2 linked regions of the Oryza sativa Japonica Group genome follow. The protein of the gene in region 2 binds, or shares a complex with, the protein of the main gene of each other region. Links are inferred from orthologs where the notes say so. Each region holds a gene or a part of one and is shown on either strand. Other genes may lie near its edges.

Region 1 (4,066 bases), on a different chromosome or scaffold from region 2:
TGATGCTTCACTTTGAAAAACTGAAGCATTTCTATAGCGCATTTCTATGTTTACCTTCAGATATAAACACTGAGGCGTCTCAGAGTTAGGCAAGACACATATTCACATTATGGCTTATGAGGACTGTAAAAAAAGATTATAAATTCCAGTGACAAAAGCACTTAATCGGGCTAGAATTGAAGATATTTTTACTTCAAACTGACAACTTGAGATCACTTGCAAAAGAACAATAAGGAGCGAGTTTGCAACTCTGAGGCCAATACTGGAAATAAACGCACTCTACTTGCAACTCATGAGCTTAATTAGGATTGTACAACAGGTTTTTTTTTCCAATGCAAGTTGGAAACAGCTGACTACAATGAAGTTGCAGGTTGCAGTGTTAAAACTATGAGTAATCGTACAGGGTGATGCTCTTGTCATCTGACACGCTGGCAAGCCGGCCTGCGCGGACTCCTGTCCCACCCGGTGGTCGGAAGGCGACAGCCCAGACCTGATCATTGTGGTTGCTCATCGTCTGCACCGACGCCCTCGTGTTGATGTCCCAAAGCCGGACCGTGCGGTCACTGGAGCCTGTCGCTACCGCCATGCCGTCTGGGCTCACGTCGATGCTCAGCACCCAGCTCGCATGCCCTGACATGGCCCCAATGAGGCTCTTCTCCTTGGCGTCGTATATGTGGATGTGGCAATCGTCGGAGGCAGTGAAGAGCACGTGCGGGTCCACTGGAGAGAACACCATTGATCTCACTGGCATGTGATGGCCCTCAAGGTGGTGGAGGAACTTCATGCGAACTGCGTCATACACAGCGATGGTGCCATCCATGGAACCACAAGCTAAGAGCTTGCCATCAGGACTCCATGCAACTGAAAGGACAAACTTGCCGCTTCCTGTTTTATCAGGGCGAGCTCCCTCTGGACGCGGAACAGCAAGGCTGGTAATTGGCTTCCACTTCTCTGTGTCCCAGAGCTTCACTGATCCACTGCCACCACCAGCTGCAGCCAGAGCACTACCCTGTGAAGGAAAGCATTTGTGGGTGAGGTAATAATGTCAGTAGCTAGAACAAGTGAAGACCTTCAGTAAAGTGAGGCTACCATAAAAGGAGGTTAATTCCTGGTACTGCAGGTTTTAGAAAAATTAGTATATGCTGTCAACAAAGGTATATAGAGATAGCACAGTGGAAAACGCTGAATGCGTAACACGTCTCAACTGCAAGTGAGAAGACAAGCTTGAACAAGCATCTCCGATTCTCATTGAATTAGACATAATTGTATCAACACGTTTATGGAAGAAAATAAATAATGTCTTAAGGCCATAGGTCAATTCTAGCAAGGTTTAGTACATACCAAAATATCATTTAAGAAAAATAGTATGTTCTGGAAATTAGCAAGATGAATCACAACAAGGCAATATGAAAATGAATTGACCACAGATACGCTACTTTGACAAACCATTTCTGGCAGTGATTGCAATGGGCGTAGTGATGTTTAGTCATCTTGCACAGAAAGGTGGGTTACCCAAATAGATAATTATCTGGCATATTGTGAAAAACATGAATACAAATCAATTTTTAAAATACAAAGGAAGCATGAAAACAGGACCTATGCAAAACCTGTAACTATGATAAAAATATGTCCAATGAGTTTGGATACACAATTAATTGTCGCTTAATTTACTGAGTCTGAAAGAGAATCGAAAAGGTAGGATTCAACATTATTCTCAGAGTCTAAGCGACTATGCAGTAAATGTTGCACACACTTTGCCAGCAATGCATGAAACACCATACTTCACATGATGATCCTCTTCAAAGCGATTACTAAATTTGTTGCAGTGTTGAGATGAAGGAGCGCTATTCCACAAAAGTGAGGTACTGTGGTCAATGATAATAAGCAGTAACAACTGAATATACTGTCAGACTTGCCCACCGAATTTAACAACCAAACCTCAGTCATCAATTGCGTATTTGAACTGCTCGAAAATTGAAATGATCACTTTGCATATATTCCTTAACTTTGCGAAAACATTCTTTTAGATTCCTTTATTTTCTTTAAATCTAATAAAACTACCACAAAGTGCCAATCAAGGCCACACTTTTGTCATGAAGTTTCAGTTAAAATGATACTAAAATCTACTAAAACATCTGAGAAAAGATCACACATTACACTAGGTAAAAAAAACCACACTAGACATATTCCAAACTATACAAACCCATACAACAGATGGAAATGATGCTCGAATCAACTGTAATTACCACATTATCACACTGAAATCCCACGCCTCTCACATCTCCCCCACACAACGAATCTAGTCAAGCAACCTCAGAATGTGAATCGCAAAGCAAAGATGGTGGGGTGGGGGGTAGGATCATCACCTACCTTGGGGTGGAACTGGATGCCCCAGACCTCGGAGGGAGGGGCCTCGAGCGTGGCGACGGAGGAGCCCGAGTCCACATCGAAGACGCGGACGTAGCTGTCGAGGGAGACGGCGGCGGCGACGGCGCCCGCGGGGTGGGCGGCGAGCGACACCACCCCGAGCGCGTGGCCCCGCGAGGGGGAGGCGGCGGCGGAGGCGAGGTCGTCGGGGGCCCAGAGGCGGACGGTCTCGTCGAGGGCGCCCGTCAGGAGCAGCGCCGCGGGGCGGTGGTCCGCCGCGGGCACCCACGCCGCCGCCCAGATGGACTCCTCGTGGGCCCCGTCCACCGACTTGAGCCCCGCGAGCTTCATCTCTGCTGCTGCTCTGCTCGAGGAGGAAGACGAAGTCGAAGTCGAGGAAACCCTAGCGTTTGATCTGGTTGGGGAGGGGAGTGAGAGAGACGAGGGGTTCGTGGGTTTTAGAGAGGAGGAAGACGATACGAGTACTAGTAAATTTCCTTTTTTTTTCTTTTCTTTTCAGATGATTTTAAAATAAAAAAATAGAAAAAAAAATGCACGTCTGTTGCAACATGTGAAGTCTAGTTTAATCTTATTATTGTTATGCGGTTTAGTTAAAAGTGAAATTAGCTGTGAGAATTCACGTGGATGTATATTCTTTTAAGAAAATCAGAAGTCGCAGTTAGGAGTCCGATCATTTTAAGTTAGCATAAGAGCTTTTCTAAAGAGATTTCTTATACGACTTCTACAGTATTTTAAAACTAATGAATAAATTAATAAATAACGGCAAAACATCTAATTTTTATAATTGTAAAGAAGAGAATTGGGCATTGAGGAGTAATTGGGCCTGCATTTTTACTGGGCCTTTCAGGATAGGCTGAACTGGGCTGATTTGGCATGCCCATTTGATAAAAGTAAATGCCCATACTATCATTTCCCCCTCGAATAACAAGTCCATCTTCATATATTACTGTTTTGTTTTTTAAGTCAAACCTATTTAGGTTTCATCAAGTTTATAGAAAAATTAATAATAATATCTATAATACCAGATTAGTTTTGTTAAACCTAACTTTTAATATATTATGGTCGTGTGTTTGTTTTGGGTAAAAAAATGTTACTATATATTTGGGTTAAAAGTTTGATTAGGAAAAGATCAAAGGGTCTTTTATATAAAACGAAGAAAGTAGTAGAAATGCATGCTTGTTTTGTTCTCACTTTTGAGCCCTATCAAAATTTGACATTACCAAACATATTAGACGTGTTCGGTTGTGTTTGCTGCCTATGGATGCGAGCCTGCGATAGCATTGGAAACGACTGTAGACAACAGCGGCCAGCGTATCCTGTCAGCCCCATTGTTACTACCGCTACCCAATCAAATTTAAGTGGTTTCAGAAAATTGCGTTCTTAAAAGCTATACCAAAATAAATTTGGTAAGGTTTCAAACCAAATGCATTCAAGACTATCAGAATTTGCAAACCAAATGCAAACCAAAAGTGTTAAATTTTGGTAGGGTTAGTTGAACAGCAAACCAAACATGTCATAGATTCCATTTTTGAATGAAAAGAAAATGAATTGCAAGATTAAACTCCCATTCCAGGGAGAACAAGTTCAAATCCAAGGAAAAGGTATAAATATATCACGTGGAAATAATCCCGCATTCTTGGGACCAATGACAATGATGCAAGAAAATGAAAAGAGGAAT
Region 2 (4,744 bases):
GTATGCCTTTCGTGAGTAGACCAGCCTATGAAGCTTCCTGAGATGCAATGCAGCAGATGCTCAGCTTTATCTTACACAAGATTTTATTATTCAACACAAGCTTTGCCTTCTTCCAGTAGAAATTTTGCTATAGTATCACGGCCATTGCTATTCTTTTTTACATTTTGTAGTATAGAAATAAGAATCTGATAATCAACATTGATATAATGATTTAGACCGAACTAATTAAGGAACATTAGGAACTTTCATAACTTGACACATGTTTTTTTTTTCCTTTTGGCATATAAGTATACAACATAGAATATTTGTACCTCTTAGTCTAGTCTCCCAATATCCGCTGCATAAATGTTTTATGCAGAGCAACAAGGGTAACAAACTAAATAACAGAAGGACTCACTCCACAAATATTAATGCGGAAATTGTCATCAACACAATTCAGGCATACAGGTCCTGTTTATGAAAAGAAAATGTGTAACCTTGCTTGTCTCATCATGTTACATACACTCAAGGCTAAAATGCAAATTGATCTGGACAAGTAGTCACAATGGCATGGTGCCGATCAGCTGATGAACTTTGTGGCCAAAGAGGCAGATGAATCCATCGAACAGCAGGCAGAGGCACAGATAACTTGAGAAGTTCAGAGTAAACCCCGTCTTCTTTTGTAGTCACTGACGGTCAGAGTTAGAGCATGCCTCCTTCCATCATTGTCAGGGACCTTGTAACCCATGGTTGCTTCAATCTTCTGCTTCCTCGCCATGTAACCATCGAAGAGACCCTTGGGACCGCCGAATTCTTCCAGGCCGGCCAATGATATACCGAGCTCAAAATTATGCAGCAAATTCGATTCCGTTCCCAGATCTACAGGTGCATTGGTATCAACCAGCTTACCGGCATCAGCAGCTGCCACTAGAGCCGCTGCAGTGGCTGCTGAACCACCTCGCGGCCCGTTCTTCGTATCTTCATCGCCAGCTACTGCGCTGCCATCGTTCCCGTTGGGGACTTCAGCGCTCTCTCCTTCAGGCTTTGCTGCGTAGTAATTTCTTGATCTTGTCCATCTCCTTGAAAAGGGATCATAACCAGCCTCTCCAACCTTCAAACTCGTGTTAACGGGCTTCATTTCTGATGCGTTCTTGAAGTTCTCAGCACGGTTCTTCTTGTTCATCGCCTCCAACTTGGCAGCCTTCTCATTATTTGATATTGGCTTCGACATCTTCTGCAGCTGATTGAGCTTTGAACGGATCCTTTCTGCTTCAGCTTCATCCCTCCTGGCAATGGCCATATCCAACTCATTCCTCAACCGATCCTTCTCAGCAGCAACATTGATAGGACGTCTGATAGCTGATTTCTTCTCTTTTAGCATCTTCTGTACAGTATGTGCTGAATACACAAAGTTGTAGGCCTGTTGAATGGCTTCTTTCTTCTCCAATACATCCTGCCGAGTCGGTACTCGCACACCATTCTTCTCAGCCACTTGTAGCCACTTCTTGAACTCCTCTTCACTGGGAAAGGAGTCTGATACTTGAGTCATCTGCCACCGAGCAGCATTAGCCTCATTGTCCCACACAACATTGAGGTACTTGCACGTCGTGTAGCCCTCCAACTTGTACTTCCGGTCAGGGTCATTCGCATCCACGTTTCTAACTATGCATAGCCTGTAATCAGGGGTCCCTGATTTTGACTTGCCAATCCCAAGCCGCACAAAGCACCCAGACACAAGGTCCTCAAAGAACGGCTCCATGAACCATTTCACAAGCTTTGATCTCCTGAGGGTTATACTCTTCACATCGTCAAACTTCAGAGGGTCAAGCCTGCTTGGCGATTCATCAAACTCATCATCCCGGGTTTCATCGGTGATCCTCCCCCTGTTATCACCATCATTACTACCGTCGCTGGGCGGGCTTCCGGCCCTGCGCCTCGGCGGAGAGCCGCTCTGCGGGATCAAATCCTTGAACCTGTTACGGTACCCCTCCGGGTCCTGCTGCCTCATCCGCTTGGCCCGCAGCTCGTCCAGCGCGCTCTTGGCGGCGGACCTGTCGGTCCTGGCCGACGACCGCGCGCGGCTCGGCGGCGGCGGAGGGCTGCTGTCCCTCCGCGACTTGTCCGCCTTGGACGACGACGACGACGCCCTCGCCAGCTGCTTCAGCTTGTAGTCGTCGATCCGCGCGCCGCGCTCCGCCAGGATCATCTCCCTGTCCAGCTCCGACATCTTCTCCAGCTGCTCCTTGTCGTCCTCGTCCTTGTACAGGTCGCTCCCGACCGACGGCGCGCTGTCTGAGTCATCGCCGCTGCGCCTCCCCTCGTCGAGCTCGTCGTCGTCGTCGTCGTCGTCATCGTCGTCGCCCTCCTTCCACCCACCACCACCACCACCTCTCCCTCCGCCCTTCTCCGGCTGGTGCCGCTTCTTGAGCGGCACCTGCGACCCCGACGGCGGCCGCTTCCTCGAGAGGGTCGGCGCGGCGTCGGAGTCGTCGGAGTCGCCCCCGTCGCCGCCGCCGCCGCCGTCGTCGTCCGAGCCGCTCCCGCCGGAGTACGACGACCCGCGCCTCCCCCGCTGCTGCTGCTGCGACGACCACCGCTGGCCCTGGCCCGACGACGGCCCCCGTGCCCCGCCGCCCTTCCCCGCCCCCGTCGTCCGCCCCGCCGCCTGCAGCAGCAGATCCTCGAGGTTGTTGTTGTCCGGCATGGCCGATCAAACAGCAACTCTCCTGCACAATTCCACAAACCAAAATCCATCAACCATCGAATCAAGAAACGCGAGCCTATCCGGGATCTGGGACAGCGGAGGGGAGAGAGAGAGAGAGGGAGGGGGGGGGGGGGAAGGCGAGACTCACCTCGAGACAGCAGCAAGAACAGAGTCGGCGAACGCCGGTGGGGGGCGAGAAGGATGGTGGCTAGGCCTGCTCGGTCGCTGGCTCGCCGGGATCGATGGCTGGAGGCGGCGGAGACGGCGGCGGAGGAGGGGAGGAGGAGAGTGCGCTGGCCCTAGATGGGGAAGTTGGGTTGTGAGGAGATTCGGTTGGAGTTATGGGCTTTTTTGTGGGGCTTTACTCTTGGGCCCTTGGGCCGGGAGAGCCCAATGAATCACATTGTAAAATGAGATTTGTGTTTTTTTTAATAAAGAAGAAGAAGAAGAAGAATGTTGTCACATTACTATCTCAGTATGGTTCAGTTTGGGGAGCGTTTGGGGAGCTTATAACGGTTGCAGTTTCTCCTAAAAAATCAAACTCCCTAGCTGTAGATCCCCAAACAGCCTAGATTTTATTCCCGATTCTAAGAATTTGTAACTATAGAATCCAGAAAATAACCAACTGCTTAATCCTAAACTCCGTCAAACAGGTTCTTTCTATGTCTTAGATTTTCATAAGTTGTATTCTAATTTGAAAAGGTTATGCATTGTATTAGTAACTAGTCAAATTTGAAATACTTGTTGAAATTATAATGCATAGATTCAAATTTTGTCATCACAAAGGCCCCGTTCTTTCCTGAGTAATATTCAGATTCTAACTTAGTTTCAATTAGCACGATTTTCAAACTGCTAAGTTGTTCTAATATATTAAATAAATCTATTTAAAATTTGCAATAATTAAAACTCAATTAATCATAAGCTGATGTTTTTTTTTTTGTTTTCTGTGTCCTTAATCTACGTTTTCCCACGTTGCCAACCCCACCAAAATGTTGGTTTCAGTGATACTATTTCATAAAATAGTGATTGTTAGTTTATGTTTTAGTATTACCGTATTGCATACGGTAACTTTTAGTGCAATATTAGTTTGTGTGGTCGTTAAGGGACTTCAACAAAGGATGCAATCTGCATTCAACCAGAGTGAAAGAGAATGTACATTGGAACTATTCTAGTTATTTCAGATATAGATCAACAAACAAAGTACAAAATAAACTATTATGGATACAAGGTTTAAGTATGAAAAATATTGAATTCAGTCCTAAAAGTTGGTTTCATCCACTAGACCACTAGTGCAGGGCTCATTGAATCCTCCTATAATTCCACCATGCACTAGCAATTGCAGGCTAACCTAAGTATACCTAACTAATCTTGTGATTTCTTCTGAAGCTGTGCTTAGCAACTGACTACTCTACAATTCAATAGCTATAAACTGAAAATTTTATTTACAACGAATATTAAACATGGCCATATTACAATGCCGTGGAGCAAACAGCTTCAGTCACAGCAAGCAAAAAATATTATCAGGGCCTACGCTTTTCTCAATATGAAAACATGAGCGACCAAGAAACCTCAACGCTCATCCGGCAAAACCCAACATCAAGTGTGTCACGACTCCATCCACATCTTACCGGGATAAACTTTTTGGAAGCACAGCTGATGTTCTCATCACCACTTTGCCTTGCATGAACATCAACAATCAACGCTCCGCCATTTCCTTCAACTGCAACTACACTGCGGCAGAAATGAATGGCTCCATCATGGGAGAAAGCCACCATTTCTTCCCCAGAGTCCAGCAATATGACATGTTCATTGATACTAGCAGTATGTGCAATGAACTTTCCACAGAAATCAGTTGAACCTCCTGTAATCCTGACCTTGATTGTAGCCTCCAATGCCACAGGAATGTGTGCATACTTGAACTCCAATTTGCTACGTGCTCCTGATAACATCATACTGCGCAGTGAGCCACATCTATGTCTCTGAGCAGTTCCATTATACCCAAATGCTTTAGCGCTCAAGATCTTATCTTCGGAGGGACTCGTCCCCTTAACTCCTAGCTCA

Evidence for each region.
Region 1: protein RTF1 homolog (region 2) and WD repeat-containing protein VIP3 share a complex: the UniProt entries of both Arabidopsis thaliana proteins name them as parts of the nuclear PAF1 complex. The link is inferred for Oryza sativa Japonica Group from reciprocal best matches to the Arabidopsis thaliana genes VIP5 and VIP3.

Annotation. Positions count from the first base shown.
Region 1 is NC_089045.1:28,461,550-28,465,615, reverse strand, and holds WD repeat-containing protein VIP3, read right to left. Parts: upstream 2,801-4,066; 5' UTR 2,719-2,800; coding exon 2,371-2,718; intron 1,010-2,370; coding exon 386-1,009; 3' UTR 169-385; downstream 1-168. UniProt on the Arabidopsis thaliana protein: Component of the PAF1 complex (PAF1C) which is involved in histone modifications such as methylation on histone H3 'Lys-4' (H3K4me3). Involved in regulation of flowering time. Required for the expression of the flowering repressor and MADS box gene FLC.
Region 2 is NC_089046.1:21,992,578-21,997,321, reverse strand, and holds protein RTF1 homolog, read right to left. Parts: upstream 3,005-4,744; 5' UTR 2,832-3,004; intron 2,706-2,831; 5' UTR 2,684-2,705; coding exon 638-2,683; 3' UTR 244-637; downstream 1-243. UniProt on the Arabidopsis thaliana protein: Component of the PAF1 complex (PAF1C) which is involved in histone modifications such as methylation on histone H3 'Lys-4' (H3K4me3). Involved in regulation of flowering time.